Linked DNA regions of Caenorhabditis elegans. The protein of the gene in region 3 interacts with the protein of the main gene of each other region in a biochemical or structural test. Each region holds a gene or a part of one and is shown on either strand. Other genes may lie near its edges.

The links.
Region 1: the proteins of tni-3 (region 3) and pat-10 interact in far-western blotting, tested with the Caenorhabditis elegans proteins (2 studies listed by BioGRID).
Region 2: the proteins of tni-3 (region 3) and tnc-2 interact in far-western blotting, tested with the Caenorhabditis elegans proteins (2 studies listed by BioGRID).
Region 4: the proteins of tni-3 (region 3) and lev-11 interact in far-western blotting, tested with the Caenorhabditis elegans proteins (one study listed by BioGRID).

Annotation. Positions count from the first base shown.
Region 1 is NC_003279.8:5,017,849-5,022,727, reverse strand, and holds pat-10 (EF-hand domain-containing protein), read left to right. Parts: upstream 1-2,641; 5' UTR 2,642-2,664; coding exon 2,665-2,667; intron 2,668-2,735; coding exon 2,736-2,787; intron 2,788-2,837; coding exon 2,838-2,944; intron 2,945-3,351; coding exon 3,352-3,507; intron 3,508-3,557; coding exon 3,558-3,725; 3' UTR 3,726-3,746; intron 3,747-3,801; 3' UTR 3,802-3,945; downstream 3,946-4,879. Other genes in the region: C46H11.6 (PDZ domain-containing protein), read right to left, coding at 313-648, 953-1,146, 1,638-1,851.
Region 2 is NC_003280.10:10,465,201-10,470,087, forward strand, and holds tnc-2 (Troponin C), read left to right. Parts: upstream 1-1,651; 5' UTR 1,652-1,736; coding exon 1,737-1,739; intron 1,740-1,816; coding exon 1,817-1,930; intron 1,931-2,032; coding exon 2,033-2,114; intron 2,115-2,163; coding exon 2,164-2,285; intron 2,286-2,745; coding exon 2,746-2,907; 3' UTR 2,908-3,150; downstream 3,151-4,887. Other genes in the region: sdz-37 (SKN-1 Dependent Zygotic transcript), read left to right, coding at 1-98; clec-143 (VWFA domain-containing protein), read right to left, coding at 3,151-3,246, 3,347-3,448, 3,499-3,611, 3,672-3,863, 4,093-4,292, 4,340-4,438, 4,504-4,721, 4,825-4,887.
Region 3 is NC_003283.11:16,832,713-16,837,837, reverse strand, and holds tni-3 (Troponin I 3), read left to right. Parts: upstream 1-2,709; 5' UTR 2,710-2,728; coding exon 2,729-2,785; intron 2,786-2,829; coding exon 2,830-2,958; intron 2,959-3,006; coding exon 3,007-3,345; intron 3,346-3,794; coding exon 3,795-4,052; 3' UTR 4,053-4,200; downstream 4,201-5,125. Other genes in the region: phy-3 (Fe2OG dioxygenase domain-containing protein), read right to left, coding at 1-164, 4,315-4,522. UniProt on the Caenorhabditis elegans protein: Troponin I is the inhibitory subunit of troponin, the thin filament regulatory complex which confers calcium-sensitivity to muscle actomyosin ATPase activity.
Region 4 is NC_003279.8:14,627,376-14,633,259, reverse strand, and holds the start of lev-11 (Tropomyosin isoforms a/b/d/f), read left to right. Parts: upstream 1-2,165; 5' UTR 2,166-2,300; coding exon 2,301-2,345; intron 2,346-2,480; coding exon 2,481-2,618; intron 2,619-3,318; coding exon 3,319-3,375; intron 3,376-5,884. UniProt on the Caenorhabditis elegans protein: Tropomyosin, in association with the troponin complex, plays a central role in the calcium dependent regulation of muscle contraction. Involved in muscle actin filament organization and muscle arm extension and morphology.

The DNA.
Region 1 (4,879 bases), on a different chromosome or scaffold from region 3:
GACGACTAGAGATTTATTCCAGAAGAATTTTTGAAATTCGGCGACTTGATTGCAATCCAGTGGTCTAAACACGCGTTATTCATGTTCTCGGAGCAATAATTTACCGAGTAGATGTGGAAACTGAGGTGACCAATTTCTCAAGTTTCAGGCTTACTGTATACTTCTGATTTTAAGAAACCCAGTGTTTAGTTATTTTAATAATAATATTTTTGTTGAAGCTCCAGCATACGGATCGTCCTAAATCTTGCAAAACCGGACGCCGGTTTTCCAAGCAAACGTTCAGCCGGTACAATTTGAAGAAAAAGTCCTCACCCGACCAATACATATCGCGTCGTTTGCCATCTTAACATCTGGATCTGGAGCAACTGACTCAATCAAATGACGAAGAGTGTTTGCAGATTCCACAGAAACCGGTCTTTCAACCAAAAATGTGACTTTTTCTCCTTTCAAAATTCCCGACAGTTTCTCACGAATGAAGTCGTCATTTTTCTCTGCGTTCAGAATGGATTCTTCATTTATATCCATTATCAGATCCCCACGACCAAAGAATATCGAAGCGAGTGAGCTGGGCTCGATTCGAGTTACTATGCCACGTTTTTGAATATATGTCACTGTAACTCCAACCGTTGCACTTTTCATTGCGGAAGTCTGGAGTAAATGGTATTTATTAAGGGGTGGACATAAGTTCTAGGTATAATCCAAAGTTATTTTAAACAATTATTTTATGAGAATTTTTGTTGTCAAGCAACAAGCAGTTCGTCACATTTCGTCAAAAAAACTTTCATAATTTCGTCTTTAATTTTTTAAATTAAAAACAATTCATACTCAAAAAACATGCAAAATTCTAGAATTTAATTGGTCATTCTGTAACTCCGTTCAAAACCTCATTGCAAAGTTCAGATTTCGTATATTTTCGAATAAGATAATCATGTCGATTTTTCTTCAATTATACCTTTTCAACTTCAATAACAAAGCACGTATTGTCCCGTCTCAAAACACATCCCGATTTCTTCAACCGTTCTCTGGTCGCTGGGATAATATTTTTCCGTCTTGTAACCTCAACACTACATGTTTCACCTTTCATGAGCTCTGTCTGATACTTGGATATATTTCCACTGGCACCGTTCACCTTGACTATTTTGTCGCCTGAAAGAAAAGTATTTTTAATCTAGTTTTTTAAACTGGTTTAATACATTAATTGGAAAAGTGTAAAGTGGAAAAGAAACTAGGGAGTCTTCCGAGGAAAATTGACTTTTCCTGGCTCAAAATGTATAATTGTGGACAGAAGAGTTTTGAAACCCTTGTACCAGTCAAACCAATTTTTGCCTATTATTTTATCGGGGATAAATATACATTTGTTCGGCAAAACATCACAACTTCATAGCAAACTCTTGCAACTTGAAACAAACATTTATAAACAATTGCCAAGAGATGTTACAAAGTTGCAAAAACCGGAGCAGTTCTAAGCGAAATGTTTCATAAAGTTTGCCAAAAGAAATTGCAAGAGTCATCTGAAAAGCTGCAGAAATTTGTTAGAAAACTAAAGTAAATAATGGTTTGTAAGAAGTTGCAAGATTCTGTTATGAAGTTGGCCCGCTTCAAAATAGTTTCGGGTTATCCGGCCGTTGGAAACTTACTCAATATCAATCCATTGTAAAACGAGTTTGTTGATAGGAAAGAAACCATCGAATTCTCATTAATTCTAATAACTTCATTCGCAGGCTTTCCGACATCTTTTTCATCAATCTTGAATGAAACTGTCATATTTACAGTTTCCACATTCTGTGGGATCGGTGTCAGCCAACATTCTTTCATCTTTTTGTTCGTATTCTGCACTTTTTTCTTCGACATTCTTCTTCAAAAGAAATAACGTTTTCCGAAGTTACTTGTTAGCTCCAAACTCACGATTATGGTTTCCTTTTGAAATCCGGAAATTTAGTGTCAAATGATAAATAAGAATGATTAGAAATCTACCTCCTCCCCCTCGACTAAACTGAATTGGAAAAACATAAAGTTTAAATTCAAAATGGTGTGTCACGCGATAAAAAGTTACTGGAGAAACTTGAGAATTATAAAATAGTATTCAAATTAAACGTTTGATATAAAACTGTAAAGATATACATACTCAGTGCACATTTAAAAAAACTGAAAAAAAAACGTTGTTGTGTTCTGAAGCCCAAAAAGGCTAGATGTTCTGGTCACCATGTACAGCTAAGAATCCAAGTATTCTGGGAAAGTTCAATTACATATATTGCCTGTCAACTCCATTTCTGTACTTAATTCTACTCCAATTATATTATTTTTTTTCTATTTCCTGGACTTTTATTGATCCTTGGTTGCCTGTCCCCCCAATCTTTCTTCGTACTCTCCTCCCGTTTCCCCTTCCTTCTCGGAGAGCCTTGTCTCTCGAATCCTGTGTTTCGCAAAAATCATCGTCAACTTCCACACAGATATCATTCTGCGTCTCTTCGCCCTCTATGATCTCTCATGCCCGTTGATCAGGAGCATCTGTCACCCAGTGTAACACCAAGAATGTGTTTTGTGGAGGAGACGATGATGCCGTTGTGAGAAAGAAAAGCCCGCCCTCGGGTTCCTCCGCCTACTCGCTCCCGCCGTTGCTTCTGCCCGACGAAGCTTATCCAGAGCACAACAAACTCCGACAACATGGTGAGTCCCGCTTTCTCATGTCTTCAATAAATTTCTTTTTGAATTTTTATATGTTTATACTTTTATAGGCTGAGGATATCGAAGAGATTCTTGCTGAAATCGACGGATCCCAAATTGAGGGTAAGATATTTTATATTTATGATTGAAAAATCATCATTAAAACTTTCTAGAATACCAAAAGTTCTTCGATGCCTTCGACAGAGGAAAGCAAGGATACATCATGGCCACTCAGATCGGTCAAATCATGCATGGAATGGAACAGGATTTCGATGAGAAGGTAAATCATTTTGGAACTTTTGGTTTATGTAGAGTTAGGGGATCTTCAGAAGAGTGATAATTCAAATTAGGAAGTTTTCAACTCTTTTAAATTTAGGTTTCACGGTAATGATTAGGTAGGCCAACTGAGTAAGATAACCGAAAATATAAATGGGTTACTCTTGCCTAAAATTTTGTTTTTATCCGACCTATCTTCTGCGGCTTGTTTCTCAACTGAATTCAATTAATTTTCGCCACTAAAACATGTTACTAATGTTTGTGAAATAATTAATTTTGATATTCCATCTGAACAAAAGCATTTATTATGTCGACTAAAGTAAGATATAACTATATGTTATGAAATTTAGTTATAGAATTGATGATTTTGATTTTTCTAAATCTATGTGGCATCTAACTTCATTCTTTTAGACCCTTCGTAAACTGATCCGCAAGTTCGACGCTGACGGTTCCGGAAAGCTCGAGTTTGACGAGTTCTGCGCTCTCGTGTACACCGTTGCAAACACTGTCGACAAGGAAACATTGGAGAAAGAACTTCGTGAAGCTTTCCGTCTTTTCGACAAGGAGGTTTGTACTTTTAGATTTTGCTTTTTATTCTTTAATTATTAATTTTTCAGGGTAACGGATATATTTCTCGACCAACTCTGAAGGCTCTTCTCAAAGAAATCGCCGATGACCTCACCGATCAACAACTCGAGGAGGCTGTCGACGAGATTGACGAGGACGGTTCCGGAAAGATTGAGTTCGAGGAGTTCTGGGAGTTGATGGCTGGAGAGTCTGATTAAATTTTCTAATTCCTTTAAAATGTAAGTGTTCGAGCTTTTTTTGATTTTATTCAAAAACTAACTTTTTATTTTTCAGCGCTGATCTACAATCTTCAACTGTGGGGACCAGTCACCAACTTTTCATAATTTCCTTTTTCTTGAAATGTTAAATTCATTTCACTTTTTATTAATTTTCTTGTCATTCTTTTGAATGAATAAAAATGAATAAAAGTCTTTGTACATCCACAGGCTTATTGGAAGAGTGTGACCAATTTGAAACGGCCAAAATCAGGAAATAATCAGAAGAACTAGACTTCTCAAATCCTTTAACACAACATCAAATCCGCAGTATAGTGCTCCGTTTTCTCTTGACCTAAAAAAACGGGAAAAGTCCATCTACGGGGAATGGAATGACAAATCTCTATAAATATAGAGATTCACCGTTGCAACCTTGTTGTTTGAAAGTGAAGTGTCTCTAAATAGAATGAAAATTATGAAAAATGGAAAATGTATTAAATCACTGCAAATGAGACCTCTACTCTGCGGCATTACAGTTTTTACCGTTTTAGCGCAACAGGACAGTTTTTGTAAATTTGCAAAAGTAAAGTGACAATTCTCTATGTAGATTTTCTACGAATGAATTTCAGGATACTTGTGAACTTGCAAAACAGTTTTTCACTATTTCAATTGTTCCAAATCTAAATTCAACAAATCCCTCTCTTTTTCTCTATCTGTGCTCAACTCTTTTCTATATAAACTTAGTGTAACATAGGCTTTATCTTTTTCTATCCACTTTCCCACCAATATCCCTCCAGGAATAGAAAAGGGATTAACGGTGGAGACTCCAAATAGTGTCCATCACATGCAGCTACTATTGCTCCAGAAGCCCTTCACGAGTCTCTCTGCCGTCTCTTTGCTTATCAGAGCCCAGATACTTACTATGGAAACCATCAGATGGGAAAACGAGAAGAAGAAAGCAGATGTAAATATAAATTAGAAAATAAGAAGAAGAAGAGACAGACATAGAGTTGTCCCTCCGTTTCTCTTTCTCTCACTCCCTTTCAAAGCGCCACGTGTTAGTTTCTTTGAAGTAGGTACAAATATTAGGATGCTCTCAATGTCTATAATGTATCTGGTTTACTGTAATTCTATGTCTCTCATTCTGAAACACTGTT
Region 2 (4,887 bases), on a different chromosome or scaffold from region 3:
TTGCCAAGGCTCAATCTCCAGTGAAACTCGTTGCCAATCCATTCTACAATCCAGAACTTGTCAAGGAAATCAAGAAGAAATCCCGTGTTTCAGTTTAATATTATTAATTATTTTTATTTATTTTTCCTCAAACAGTTTAGTCGGTTTTTCTGATATCCAGGTTCGGTTTTTATAATTGTACTTTTTCTTGGAAATGATTACAAAATTTCTGTCCGGTATTTTTTCTGTATTGGTTTTCTCAATTTTTAACAACTGTACTTTTACTCAATTGTTTTAATAAATTAATCAGACTAATTAAAAGTTGTTTTTCACTTCAAACGACCACGCTTTCAATACTAATTGAATACAATACATTTCTGAATAAAATTTTTTTGCTAGTTCCACCATCGAAAATTCCAATTACTCCAATTACTTTAAGCTAGTATTTTGTAGCACATTCGTTTTTTTCAAAATTTTCAGATGATTGATTGATTTATTTAACATAACTAATGCAATTTACAACTGTACAATTGAATTTTGAGTGTTAAATAAAACGGTAAAACGAGACTAACCCAGAAAGAGTACGTCTCGAGTTTGGGACGGGAAAGGAGAGAGAGGGTAATGTGGTAGAAGAGATCAGTTAGAAGTCAAAGAGAACCAGCGGATAAAAGTTAATACCGGGGAATATTGAGATCGAGAAAACTTGAAAACTGATAGGGGGAGAGAAATACCGGTATATTTTTGACAAGATTGTTCCAAATAGGAATGGATTTGGCAAAGAAATGAGAGGTGCATGTGTCTTTCCTAACCAGAATCATGGGTCTCCTATTGGAATTAGAGAACTTGACAAACTGAGTTAATTTAGAGAAATGAGTAGAACCGGTAAGAAGTCTATATAATAGTTTCATTTGAGCTTTAATTCTAGTGTGTCTGGTGGAGAATAGTTCCATGATGCACAGTCTGTTTTCGTAAGAGGTGAATTTAACGTTGCACCTTTGCAGGACGCGGTTGGTGAAGGTCCTAAGCGGTTTTTCAAGTATGGCAGAGAGTGAGGAGTTGGGGGAAGGGGAGTAGATCTCAGAGCAATAGTTTATGATGGGGGCAACGTATGTTTTAAATAAGTGGCTATAAGTTAAATAAGTGGCTATAAGTAAATAAGTGGCTATAATTAAATAAGTGGCTATAATTAAATAAGTGGCTATATAATTAAATAAGTGGCTATAATTTAAAAGTTGTTTTTCACTTCAAACGACCACGCTTTCAATACTAATTGAATACAATACATTTCTGAATAAAATTTTTTTGCTAGTTCCACCATCGAAAATTTCCAATTACTCCAATTACTTTAAGCTAGTATTTTGTAGCACATTCGTTTTTTTCAAAATTTTCAGATGATAAACTGCCCAATACTATTGGAAGTTTCTATAGTAGTAACACATTGACTTACTCTTTCCCCGAATACTTCAAAAATGCCTTCAACTGTACCCACCAATGCTCTATCAGTTTACCTATCTCCGAGCCCCCGAGTTCTACTTCTATCCGGCTGTATCCCTGCACAGTGCCTTTTTATGTCTACATCTCACACATTTTAACAGTCTGTCTCCAATATCCAAACACATCCCCCGCCGACGCATTGTGTGCTCTCGTTAGAGCTCCTCCCGCGCTGTAAGCCACTTGAGCAGTTTGTGGATTTTCCCTCTCTTTTCGCATTTTGTCGAAGAAACTTTTCCTCGTGTCGATCAGGTCAATCATCAATCATGGTAAGAGTTTTGTTTTATTGGTAATTTGTAGCTAATTATGTCTATAAATAAATCTGTGAATATGTGCAATTTTGTAGGGAGACGTCGTTGCTGATGCTTTGGAAAAGCTTTCTGCCGATCAGATCGAGCAATTCCGTAAATACTTTAACATGTTCGATAAAGAGGGAAAAGGATATATTCGTGCTACCCAGGTTTGTGGAGTTTTAATTTTGTAGCAAATTGCTGTTCAAATTGGAATTTCTTGAATTTTTCTTAAAATACTCCCAAGAAATTGTTAAACTCTGAAATTCCAGGTCGGACAAATCCTCCGTACCATGGGACAAGCCTTCGAAGAGCGTGACTTGAAACAGCTCATCAAGGAGTTCGATGCTGATGGTATACTTCCCCCACCGGCCATAAATCTACAGTACCAATCCTTTTTCAGGTTCCGGAGAGATTGAGTTCGAAGAGTTCGCCGCTATGGTTGCCAACTTTGTTGTCAACAATGAGAACGACGAAGGACTCGAGGAGGAGCTTCGCGAGGCTTTCCGTCTTTACGACAAAGAAGTATGTTTATTTGCAATTTTGGTTTCTAATATTTTTAGGGAAAATGAAAGGAGAGAAGTAAATCTTGAGAAAAATATGAAAAAAGTCAATACTTTTGTCCTATGTATTTCTTCTATTTGAAATTATGTGAATTCTGAAATTCTTTTTGAAAACTTTGTTTGTTGTAAACTAATAATTTGTTGAATTCTTGAGCATGACCTTTTTTCACGTTGTCAGCTTATATCTCGGTTTTCATTAGTTTAATCAAAAATTGTCAACTGGCAAAGTATGTACAAAATATTTCTCCAAATTCTGATAGTAATTTTTCAAAAATAGAACTAAAGACAACCAAGATAGTAGCCATCAAAGTTGAGTGATGGTTCAAGAGAAAAAATACGGTATGTCATCAATATTTCTTTTACAGTCTGAACCATTGAAATTGAAGAAAATATAATTTTAAAGCCTAAATTTTAACTTTCAGGGAAACGGATATATCAACGTCTCAGATCTTCGTGACATTCTCCGTGCTCTTGACGATAATGTTTCAGAGGAAGAGCTCGACGAAATGATTGCTGAAATTGATGCTGACGGTTCCGGAACTGTCGATTTCGATGAGTTCATGGAAATGATGTCTGGAGAATAATTTTAATTTTTATCCTACCAATGATTTCTGACGGCGCCTTACCATTCACTGACTTCCAATAATTCTTTTTGTAAAAAACAACAAATCTTACATTTTCATGCTTTCAATTTATTTGATAAAAGTTGATAAAAAAAATAAAAGAAATCTCAAAAAAATATTGTAAAAAAATTCCCATGTAGTCGACCCTTTTGATGTTAGAACAAGTAATGATTAAGAATAAAATTTATAAAATAAAATTGATCATCAATTTTCCAAATACGTAGTGTAGTATTCTGTGCTGCTTGCTTGAACTTGACAGATGAAGAGCCAATCATTGGTCTGAGGTGGAGCCCAGAAGAACTGTAACAAGATTTAAGGAAAATATTGAAGTACCGTATCAACGATATAAAAATTCATTTGTTGAAAGATATTGCAAAATTCATGTTGCAAAACGACTTACATCAGTAGATCCCTCCTGCAATGGTTGTGTCGAAATAACTTGGTTCGTAGAATTTGCTTGTGGAAATCCTGGAGCCCACTTTGAATAGATCAGTGGATTAAGCTGAAACACACAATATTTTTCAAACACAAATAACAAAATCTATAAAGTACCGGAATCATGTCCTGGCCTTGAGGCTGCTCCCAGAGCCACTGATTTCCCAAGTTACGTAATCCAATGTAGTATTCCAATGGCTTGTACTTGGGGAACGAAATTGCCATGAGAACTGGAAATTAATTTATAGGTAATTTTGCTGAAATGCTTAGTTTTTGAAGTTTAATCTCACTTTGCATAAAATCGTGTTTGGCCTGACTGAACTCATTTGCTAAGTGAGCATTTTTAACTTCACTGGCACAATAATCGATGGCATGTTGGTAACCGTAACTTCCGCCAGTTGCAGTAAATCCTCGAAGACAAACTCCGTATTGAGTTCCGTTGCCAGTAAACTGAACCCAGTTTTCTGGGCAGAAGCAGTTGACTGAAATAGTTGTTGTTTGAATTCGTACTCAACTATAATTTGACTAATGTGATAAATTACCCAGGTATGTTACATCCAACCAACGATTACAATCTTTGGTTCTCTATGAATGTTGAATGCATATTAATTCCAATTAGATAGTTTCAAGAGATTTCTAATGATATGATGCCACAGACATAATAGTCATTATGCATTTTTCAGTTAGTTAACGTAAAAATATATAACGTACTGCTCAATAGCGCCGTTGTCAACTGTTTAACCAATTTAGAAGTATTCATCTCATCCACTAAACTGAATTGAGGACTAGAAATCTGTGCTAATCCATCCAATGCTGCTTGATTCGTTGTGCACGCTACCGTAATGATAATAGTATTGTCATATTTCATGCGTCTAGCAATTGGGAATGCATCATTAGAGGTTCCTGATCCTCTGAAATTTAACTTTTTAGTAATGTTACATCATTCTTTCCAGCTTACTGATAATCAGCTGCAAAAACTATAACAACTTTCAGAAAGTTGAACCGATATGTGCGGCTACGCCCATTCTTGAGTGCTTGCTCAGCCGCCAGAAGTCCTCTGAAAGTTGGTGAGTTTTGAAACTTGTGCGAGTTACTTTTTTTTTAATGAAGATCTCAACTCACTTGCTCAAATACGACGAATTTGTAGAATCGACGTTGTTCAATGATCCTTGAACCACATTGTACAAATCAGTGAAACTGTGTGGTCCGTCCAATTGAGCGTTTGTGGTAGCATCGGAATCATACGTCACAACTCCAACACATGTACTACGAGGATCCGCTGGGTATTTAGTTGGACCGATTCGAGATGAGCCAAATAATTGAGTAATGGTATTTCTGACCTAAAAACATTGTTTGTTAATTTGGACATTTGGGAAATAATTTAAGATTTTTTTAAACTTTCAAATTAAAGAAAAACTTTGATTTTTAAAAATTACAACTAACCTGCCAGAGCTGTGCATTTGTCATCAGTTGAGACTTATCAACAACTACAACTACGTCCAACCA
Region 3 (5,125 bases):
TGACGTTTTCTGAATCTCCAAATCACGTTGTTCGATGAAATTCAAGAAACTGGCGGTTTGGCGGGGGCTCATGAGATTACGGTAGATCACAAGTGTCGGAGCCCAACTGATAATTTCCATGTCGACCGGGAGCATGTTGTAGACGTAGGTGATGCAGATGGAATCTGGAATTTCAGAATAAATTTCACTGGAATTTTAAAGCCGCAGTACAAAATTATCCGCAACAAAACAACCTGTGCCCCTACAAAATTCTCCAAAGTATTTTGCAAGCTGTGTCACTCATACCCATCATTTTTATTATCTCTGAACTTTTGTTTCCTCCATTTCACTACGTCAGTTGTTGTGGTGGTTATACATATTTTATTGGCAAGTGCAGAGAGCAAAGCTGGCAGATTTCAGAAATAGTGGACTACTCAAAAGCCTGTTCCGGCCTGAAATTATTTCATGTAGCCCGGAAGAGGAGCTACTAGCCAAGTATCCTCTCCGTAAAGGTTGTCCAAAAGTTCCGGCAAAAATCTGAGCCCAGTGTGCTCATTGAGCAAAAACGTCCGTGAAAAAAAAAACTTGTCAACCCACATATCATGTTCCTTCTAGACATCAATCTTCTATGTTGATCAGGGACAACTATTTCGAAATTATTAGCTTTTTTCCTTGAAGAAACCCTTTTTTCTGTTCGATATCTATGCCTGATTAATGATATTTCGGAACAAAGCTCAGAAATTCTCGAAAAAAAATCAAAATGAGGAAGCTGCGGTGCTGATCGGAGCACATATGCTTCCGATTTCTTGTTGAGTGTTTGGCACAGAAAAAACAAGCATAGGAATCAAAAAATTTGCTTCAAGGAGCTTGAAATAATTGAAATTAATTCTGGAAACATTCAAATTTGCTCAGAAAATTGAAAAAAAACAGTTTTCAAATTAGTTGTAGTATTCTATGAAAATTAGCTCTCAAAATCCACCTTCAAACTGTACTCCAGTATTTTCCAAATTGCTCTAAGAAGCCTCGAAAAACAAAACTCAAAATGTTTACAACTAATTTCATTTTTATGAAATTGGAAAGCTCTGAGCCTTCGAAAATCAGTTTTCAAACGCGAAAAAAAATCCTGGCTCCTTCAAATTTGCTCTAAATCATTTGAAACTTAACTTCGAAAGTCCGAAATTTTCCTAACTTTTTTCAAAAAATGTTCAAAAAACCCAAAATTGACCTCCAGACTTCCCATTTTTCTCCCAATCATCAATCTTTTGCCACCTCAAAATTTGCGACAATTGATGTGGTGGCAACAACTGTTCTGATATCTCTCTTTTTTGCAAATTGATCCTCATTTTGATTGGCACCGGTGGTCTGATAAAAGGGATTCCCCCGGGGAATTCCTGCTAATTTCCGAATTCCCCTAGCACATTTTCTACCACAGAAAAAGAAAAGTAAGTAGTATTCCCAAAGCTTTCCCGTGAGAGCTCCGAGAGCTCTAGGCTCACACACACACATGTCGTTTCTATCTTGCGGCAAAAAGTGATGATGGGTTTTGAATTACCGCCGTTTTCACTAGTGCTTCTTGCCCGCCTCCGCCATTCTTTTTCGCCCTGTTTTATTACACTGTTCGCTTCTTCGTTTTGTTTCGTATGCAATATGTGCATCAGCAGTAGGAGCAAAAGTTATAGACGGGAGATAGAGAGAGAGTACAAGATGGAGGCGGAGAGCAGGGGAAAACAGGGAGGGAGGGGGTTCCGCAGGAAAAACATGTTTTAAACTTTGGTTTTAGTTTTCAGTCTTCTCCTCCTGATTCACTCATTCTGCCATTCGTTGTGATCAGATTACGTCATGCTTTTTGATTTTCCAGGTCTTACTTTTTTACCGTATATCTTGTCTAGCCTGATTAATATGCCATCGGCCGGGTTTTTTGCGGCTGCCATTATGAATTGTGGTTTTGTGAATATTTCGTAAAATTCAGTCTGCTGCAGCAAGCTTTAATAGAATTTTGGAAAACCCTGTGAGATGTCGGATGCATTGGAAACTGTTGGTCTTGTGAAAACCAATTCAATGTCGGCTGCAGATTTGTTTTTGTTTTTTACACTTTTTGCAAAACTTTCTTGCAGCCAACATGTCCTGGGTTAAACTAAATTGTATCAATGTCGGCGACAACATTTTACTTTTTAAAAACTATCGAAGCTGCTTGCAGCTGATTTCTCACGGGTTCCCAAAGTTCCGCTAAACCCAGTTATGTGTCGGCTGCTATAACGTATCATCTAAATATAAATTAATTTCCTTGCACCCGACATTTCCCGGGTTCACAATCTATTACGTCTTAAAATTTTGGCTGGAAAAAATTACAAAAACCTCTGTTTTATGGAAACTTGCGGCCGACATCTGCCGGGTTCAACAAAATGTCTCGATGCTTTAAATGTACAAAATACACCCGGTTAAGTGTCAGCTGCAGATATCTAAGCCTATACTGAAAATTAGTTTGCAGCCGACATTTCCCGGGTTTGCCGCCGCCGCCACCGGTCGGCTGCGTCGGCCTCTTTAGGTTACCGTAGTATCTTTCAGAACATTTTATGTTCTTTGTTCTAATTCTCAAATCCCATTTCTCTACTAACTTCTTCCATATGCTATTATTTTTCCTTCCTGCTCCGCACACATACTAATCAAGATTTATTGCTCAATTTCTCTTTCCCGCCCCGCTTGCCACTTCTCACAGATCAACTTTTCCAGGTCATTTTTCCCCGCCAAAATGCTGATTGAAGACGAGAACATTCGCTACGGCGGAGCTCAGGCTGATGTTGAGGACGTAAGAAGTTGCTCAATTTTCAGATTACTTAAAATTAATTTCAGGATGCCGCCCGCAAGGCTCAAGAGCGTGAGCTCAAGAAAGCCGAAGTCCGTAAGCGTATGGAGGAGGCAGCAAAGAAGGGATCCAAGAAGAAGGGTTTCTTGACTCCAGAAAGAAAGAAGAAGCTTAGAGTGAGTAAAGCCTTGGCTGTAACTTTTTAGATATCAGAATAATTCCAGAAACTTCTCATGATGAAAGCCGCCGAGGACTTGAAGCAACAGCAAATGCTCAAGGAGCAAGAACGTCAGAAGACCCTTCAGCAGCGTACTATCCCACTTCCAGACGTCGACTCGATCAATGATCAGGGACAACTCTTGAAGATCTATGAGGATATGTTCGCCAGAGTTTGTGCTCTTGAGGAGGAGAAGTTCGATATCAACTTCGGAGTATCCCAGACTGAGGCAGAGATCAATCAGTTGACTATTCAAGTTAATGACTTGAGAGGAAAGTTTGTGAAGCCAACATTGAAGAAGGTGTCCAAGTACGACAACAAGTTCAAGTCATCCGGAGAAGTTAAGGTGAGAGATTGGAAATAATGAATTTTGTAGAAACTTTTCGAAGCCTCGTTAGGTGTCGGCTGCTGCAAGACAATTTTTGAAATTTTTTGAACAGACCAGTTAGGTGTCGGCTGCAAACTATAAATGTGGGCATCTAACTATTGCGTTTGCAAAACAGATGCAGCCGACATCTTTGGGGATCACCCAAAGCTCGCTAATTCCCGTGAACTGTCGGTTGCAACAACTTTTCGTGCCAAATGCAGAAAACACCAAAAATGCGTTAAAATTGTGTAAAAAAATGTTAAAATGCTCAACTCAAACACGGCAAACCACTATTTAATTTCGGAAAGAAAAATTTGACTGAAAATTTCCATTGAAAAATATTCCGATATCTTTTTAAAAACATTTTAGTTTTTTTAAAGTTCTCAAATTGTTCCAATTGATTTCCACCAAATAACAATAAATTTCAGGAAAAATCAAACTTCCGCAACAACCTGAAAGTGGTCAAAAAGGAGACGGACCTCGACGAAATCATGGCAAAGAAGAAGGGAACCGCCGACGGAAAACCAGAATGGTCCAAGAAAGAGAAGAAGGAAGAAGAGGCTGCACCAGTGGAACTAGCTGCTCCAGTCGAGCCAGAGGCCGAGCCAGAACCAGAAGCCGCCGAGCCAGCAGCTGAAGAGCCAGAAGCCGAAGAGGAAGAGGAAGAAGAGGAGGAAGAGGAATAAGAAGTGGTGATCTTTTTGTAGATTTTTATGTGCTTGAGCTTATTGATTTTTTATTGTCAAAAAAAAAATTAAATATGATAATCGCATTTTTCATTGCTACTTATGAAAGTTAATGGAGAGAAATTGAAATAAATCTTTTGAAAACTGATAAACCCCCAAATTTTGCTAAGTAGCCTTGCTGCAAGCGCGCTCTGCGGACAAAAAAACGGTATATACCAAATATAAAATTATCAACGGAGCGCGATTACACACAGACACTCACCATTTTTCTGCCATTTCGTGTCCTTTGTCTCATCATCACAAAGCTCCAACTGATCCGTGCTCCACCATTTTTCACCCAAAAAATTCGTGAATTGCTCGTTGAAATCGTCCTGGGCGAGCAGCCAAATATGTCTGCATTGGCTGTAAAGCCACGTGGCACACAGTAGAGAAACAAGACCCAGAATTTGACGGAAAGTGACAGAAATCATGATGGTTTTCTAAAAATAAATATGATTAAGTTGCGGAAAAAGCGGAAAGTGGGAAAGTTTATCGAAACAAAAAAAAACAACAGAAAAGAAAACATACCGGCGACGGCAGAAAATGCAACTTCAGTTTTATCCCGATTTCCACGTACTGAGCACATTGTGCAAAATGAACTTTTGGAGAATAAATGGAGCAAAGGGTCGAAAAGGTTCAATGAACTTTTTCACGCTGAAATATATTTGGGATTTTAATTTATTAGAAACGTTAAAAAATATATTAATTCTTAAATTGACAGTTTTAAATTTGAAAGCTATATTTTCAAAGGATCTGTAAATTTTTTTCAAATAGGATTTTGTATTTTTGGATATATTTCTGTTTTAAAAATGTTGCTTCTTTTTTTTCAAAAAAAAAAGTTAAATTTTTGAAATGTTGTCGGAAATTTTTAAGAAACATTGGATCAGAAAAATTCCAAAAAATTCAGTTTTCTTAAAATAACGGGCAACAAATTTTCAAAAACACAAAAACTAGGCATCCGCGCCTTCACGCCTGCTTACCTACCTGCCCTACATCTCTTTGTCTGCATTTTGGAGTGAAGTTAAAACAATGGC
Region 4 (5,884 bases), on a different chromosome or scaffold from region 3:
TGCAAAAAGTAACAATATTTCCTCTAGCCTTATGTAGACTAGAAGTTATGGTAATCACGTTTGATATAAAATTGGGTTGAAGTACTTAATTTTGCGAACTTATCTGAAAATTGACTAATCCGTCAATGCATAATTATAGTAAATATGTCATTTTGAACATTAATTCGGATAGAATGAAATTTAGAAAAGAAGTGTCTTTTCTTTTCCGACACATCCAATACGAACAGATATTATATAACGAGGTCCCCCTAGTCATATTACATGCAAGACTAATCGATAGGAAATAGTGTAGCAAGTAGCTGGTACTATTCATGGATCTATTTTTCATCACCATTATATAATCGTAATACATACATACATGCATATATACATGATCACGAATCTTAGTTGACATTAAATTATCACGACTTATTTAGAAATACTGTCTATGATAAATAGTTTTAACAAGTATTCTCCTACAAAATCATTAAATATAACCCTAAATTCAAAATAAACCACTACTATTATACCTCTTCCACATAATCCACTGATATTATCAAACAAGTTGCCCTCTTGACAATAAACTCTCGAACGCCAACTGTTTCGAATGTTTTGTCGTCGGCTGGATGCCACAATTGCTTCTTTTCGGGGATAAGAAGAAGAGCATATACACACAAGTAGTATTGGATTCTAATGTCAGGATTTCAAAAACTGAGACTCTGATCATTGACCGACTTTTGGGAATCTGAGATAAAAAAAAAGAACAATAACAAAAAAAAGTTTAAGGGAAGTAAATGCGTTTCTATGGATAGTGGGTAGGGCTGTACAAATCGGCGTCCGGTCGTCCGATTTTGACACCACCGGACGCACATGCGTCCGGTTGGGGGTAGCTATCCACGACGGCCGACAACTTCCGAGTTTCGCCACTCACTATACTTAATCAGCAATTTTATAGTGAGTGGCGAAATTCGGAAATTGTCGGCCGTCGTGGATAGCTACCCCCAACCGGACGCATGTGCGTCCGGTTCGAACTTCGGACGACCGGACGTCCGGTTGTACAGCCCTAATAGTGGGTAAAGAGAAATGGAAAAATATGGGAATGTATGAAAATTGGAAAGATGAAATGTGGTACTTCTTATTGTAAAATTAGACACTAATCAAATTCCGGAGAACAAAGCTATGTAACATGGCACTGTAAAAACTGAGCTTGTCATATTTTTTAAAATTCAGTTTTGATTGTTCAGTTTTCTTTAAAAATTCATTCATGAATAGTTACAGTAATAGGATATCTTATATCACGTGTGCATTAGTGTTGCAACCCTTTCCATAAAGTTTCAAGGTTCTTAAAAAAAGGTTCAACTGGAAAAAAACCATACTTGTAGCATACTCTTTCGTAGTGTAATATTACTAGGGAAGCCCAGATTTATGATATCTGTTCATATTGGATGTATGGTGAAAGGCAATATGATTTCGTTATGTTAGGCTTGAAGGCTTGTTAATAGGCTTTAAAAAAGGCTACCAGTAATGTTAATGTTAAGGTTGAAGCCTTGTTAGGCCTCGAAAATGAGACACTTATTTTTTAATTTTAACTCCATTAATGTTCAAATTTAAGGATGTCCTTAAAAATGTAACTAATTTTAATGACACCATTACTTTAATAATTTATTAAAGTTTTAGTCAATCTTGAGTTAAATTTTCGAAAATTTTGCAGCAATTTGATTTTACATCACTTATGGTTATTATTACTAACAGTCTAGATATATAAGAAATATCGTTACTATTTGTACGATAACGTAATTAACAATCAAATTGATAATCGTTTCAATTTTTTAATGTAAAGAGGCTCAGAACGGCTTTTGCCACGTCATCAAGCGACCACGCGAATATCGGTCCTGGAACACCATACCACCTTACTAATTATGTGGTTTTTTTTTAAAGTTTTGTTCCTTTTTCCATTCCACGAGAAACCCTTCTTCTCCCCAATCATCATCTTTTCCATCTGCCATCGGCTCTTGCTCTTCTCCCCACAATTCCCGTTGCTCCGTGTGTGCTGTAATATGCTCCAGGGGGGTGGGTGGGCAGGGATCCCATAGGCATAGGTCTCCACGAAATCAATACTATCTAATCATCTGCCACACCCCCGTCTGATGTTGTGGAGGAAGTGAGAAGAGAGAAGAAGAAGAAGAAGAAGCGGGGGCTCGTGTGGGAGGAGTCTCGTGAAGACGGGAACCTGAAGCTAACGGGAGAAGAAGAATCATTCTCCCCTCCAATTTGAATCGTCGATACTCCGTGTGTTTCAACACAACAACAAACTACCAAAAATGGACGCCATTAAGAAGAAGATGCAGGCCATGAAGATCGAGAAGGTTTCCACACTTTTTTTAAATTTTAATACTGTTTTATAGTGAATTTCTTCAACTTTTTCAATTTTAAAATTAGTAGTGGTCATATACATTCCAATATTTTGAATTTTTCCTCAAAACCATATACACATATTCTAGGACAACGCTCTCGATCGTGCCGATGCCGCTGAAGAGAAAGTCCGTCAGATCACCGAGAAGCTCGAAAGAGTCGAGGAAGAGCTCAGAGACACCCAGAAGAAGATGACTCAGACCGGAGACGATTTGGACAAGGCTCAGGTATGGGTTTAAGCCAGAATTTAGGCTCTTTGCGTATATTTTATCGATTTTAAGACCCCATATAAACTGGCTTCCTAAATTTTCGCTTAGATCTTGGTTTGATAAGACTTTAAGCTATCAGATTTTTACCAGGAAGCTTAAAAATTCATGAAAATCGCAGGAGTTTCTAGAAGTTCCAAAATATTGTCTAGCTTCTACTTTGATACCATATATAATTAGCGTATTATTAATACCTACTTTCTCAACTTAAAGCCGCTATCCCGGAAGATTTTGGCCTGAAACTGAGCAAAGTTCTGAAAAGCAGAAGTTGAGCTCTAAATTTCCTAATTTTTTGGAATCAAGCTTTTACAATACCTTATATATAGCGAATTTTGATTACAGTCCGATTTCAGAAAACAAAATTTTTTAGAGACACTGGCGCTCAAGTAACCTATAAAATCTTAAAGTATAACTAAAAATCACCCTAAAAACAAAATTCGAAATTCATAGTGCAGGGTGCTCAATTTGTAACTTTTAGCCCTAAAAATTTAACCTGGAATCTAAAATTTACCTAGGACACCACTAGAAATCAAATTCGAAGCTCATGGTGCATCGTCCACCTAGGTCTACCTGTCTCCCTGGGCTTATGCTCCTAAGCTGAAACACTTAGGCTTAAGCTAAGCTAAAAGAATAAGCTCAAAATCAAACTTCCATTTTTCAGGAGGACCTCTCCGCCGCCACCTCCAAGCTCGAGGAGAAGGAGAAGACCGTTCAAGAGGTGAGTCGACTTTCTTTTTAAAGCCCAATCCGGGCAGCTTTTGGTTTCTAAACCGACTTCAGGTATTTCCAATTCCCAATCCACAAGCACAACGACCAGGTTTGTGGCGCGATGTTCAAAGTCAATTAATCCGTTAATTAGTCAGTGAGTAGTTGGAATGAAGAGAGAGAGATACATACATATATACAGCTAGTTTTCCATTCCTGTCCTTTTGGGCATGAAAATGAGTGAGAGAGGGTGACGTTGATGATGATCCGCGGTTTTTTTCTCTTTTCCACCCTCTTTCTCTCACTTCCCATAGGCTTCTTCCCCCACCGGGGTAGCTATTGTTTTGTGTGTGTGTGTGTGTCTTCTTTTTTCAATAATGTTCATATATATATATATATATTGTTTCTTCAAATGTTTGGTATACATTGTACTGTATTCAATCATGATTCACTTTTTTCATTCCGTCGAGAGTCAGAGATAGGGTACTGTAGAAATCCTTCTTTCCCGAAAAAGACTTGATCAGGGTGTGGCTGTTATCTAGTTAGCATGTTATATAACATTATGTAATGATGTTCAAACCAGATTGGCATCACTTTTAGCTCGGTTTTCCAGATTTCCCAATTTTGTAAGTTGTCATTATACTGTTTTATTGAAAACTGATTGTGAGCAAAAAGTGTTGTCAATTTATGTAATTCCCTTTAGTCATTGCTATACGTTCTTGAAAAAATTTTGTTGGCTTAAAACATTCTTAAGCTCCGGCCTTAGCCAAATTTTGCAAGGCTACTTTTCAATATTTCGGAAAATTCTAAGTGGTGCCATGTGATATTTAATTTTCTAGCTTAACAAGCTATTAGTTTTCAAGTACTGATCCTAAAAATTTAAAGCTTAGAGCAGTGGCATTTTTTTTGGAATTTCACTAGTCTGGCGGTAACTTTAAGCGAATGTGATCTATTAACACGTGGTGCCAGGTTGTCTCATTGAAGTTTGATCTACAAAAAATGTGGGAATTTTTAGTCAGCACATTCTTAGCCATGCGAAATCAGTTAAGAACTGTGCGTCTCTTCTCCCGCATTTATGTAGATCAAACCGAAGTGAGCCACTCTGACACCACGTGTAATATAATAATCCAGCAGAATTCAAATTCCTCGTGGTGATTTTTCATGCATTACTTTTCATAGTCTTCGAAAAAAATGCTCAATATTTCCAACTTCGGAGTATTTCAAGTGTATGTTAAGCCTATTTTGAATCCCACGCATCACCGAATTTATCTAGATTCCTAGAATATCTACAGTGCATTTTTTTCCACTTCTCCAACTTTAAAGGAGGGCGCATTTATACGAAATGGTCCCGCCACGCGGCCCAAAAATCAATGCGTGGCGGGACCATTTCGTGTAAGTGCGCCCTCCTTTAAAGCGGTAGAAGTGGAAAAATATCAGTGATTTTTAGGAAAAAAACCTTTTTTTGTCGAGAACTTTTTTCCCTCTCCCGACGTTTTTTTTGCACACAACTTGGCGCGCCGAAATCCAATTTCTTTGCGAAAAGCTCAATCCCATTTTCCGTTACTGCTCAAATGAGCGAGAGGCGAAGAAGAAGAAGAAGATAAAGTTCGAGGAGTGTATGAAGTGCTGTTGGGGGCTTCCTTCCCCTGCCTGCGCCATTGTCTAATCTCTAAGTCTCTCTAGCTTCTCTCTCTCTCTCAATTTCTTCTCTTCCAACTGATTACAACGAGATGTTTGCTTTACAACAACTCCTCCCCGCCAATAGGCTCCCGAGGGCTCACTGAGCATCAACGGGCGGCGCGGCGGGAAAGAGAGAGAGAGAGCATCTCCCCCGCAATTTCAAGAAACGAGGAGAGCTGTGTGATCGGCTTCTCGGCATTTTTCAAGGGGCAAGTGAATGGCATGTCAGTTGAAATGGAAATAAATGAGAATAAATGAAAGCGCACACACCAAAATAGAAACTACAGTAGTGCCTAATGGGTCTCGCCACGATTTTCGTAAAAATTCTAAAATTCCTAGGATTTTCTTCCGAGAACTAGGCAAATGCGCTGCATTTTCAAATTTTTTAAAGGAATTTGCAGGGTCTTAGGTACTAATTTCTAGGGGTTTTATTTGACATTTTCAGGCGCTTATTGCGGAATTTCTTACTTTTAGTGTCAGGCTGTCCCATTACTGTTTGATCTACAAAAAATGCGGGAAATTTAGAAAGAAATTACAATAGTACCGAGTAGGTCTCGCCACGGCAAGTAGACGCAAGTTTTGACTCTTTTTGTGTAAGGTTTTCGGTGGAAACTACTCTACAATTCCCAGGGTTTTCCCTCAGATTTTGGTTCTCAGATACAAATTTCTAGGGTAGGCCCTTAATGCGAAAATTCTTACTTTCGGTGTCAGGCTGTCCCAATACTGTTTGATCTACAAAAAATGCGGGATTTTTTGTGACATCAGCACGTTTTAACCATGCAAAATCAGTTGAGAAGTCTGCATCTAAATCCCCGCCATTTTTGTAGATCTAGGTAGATCAC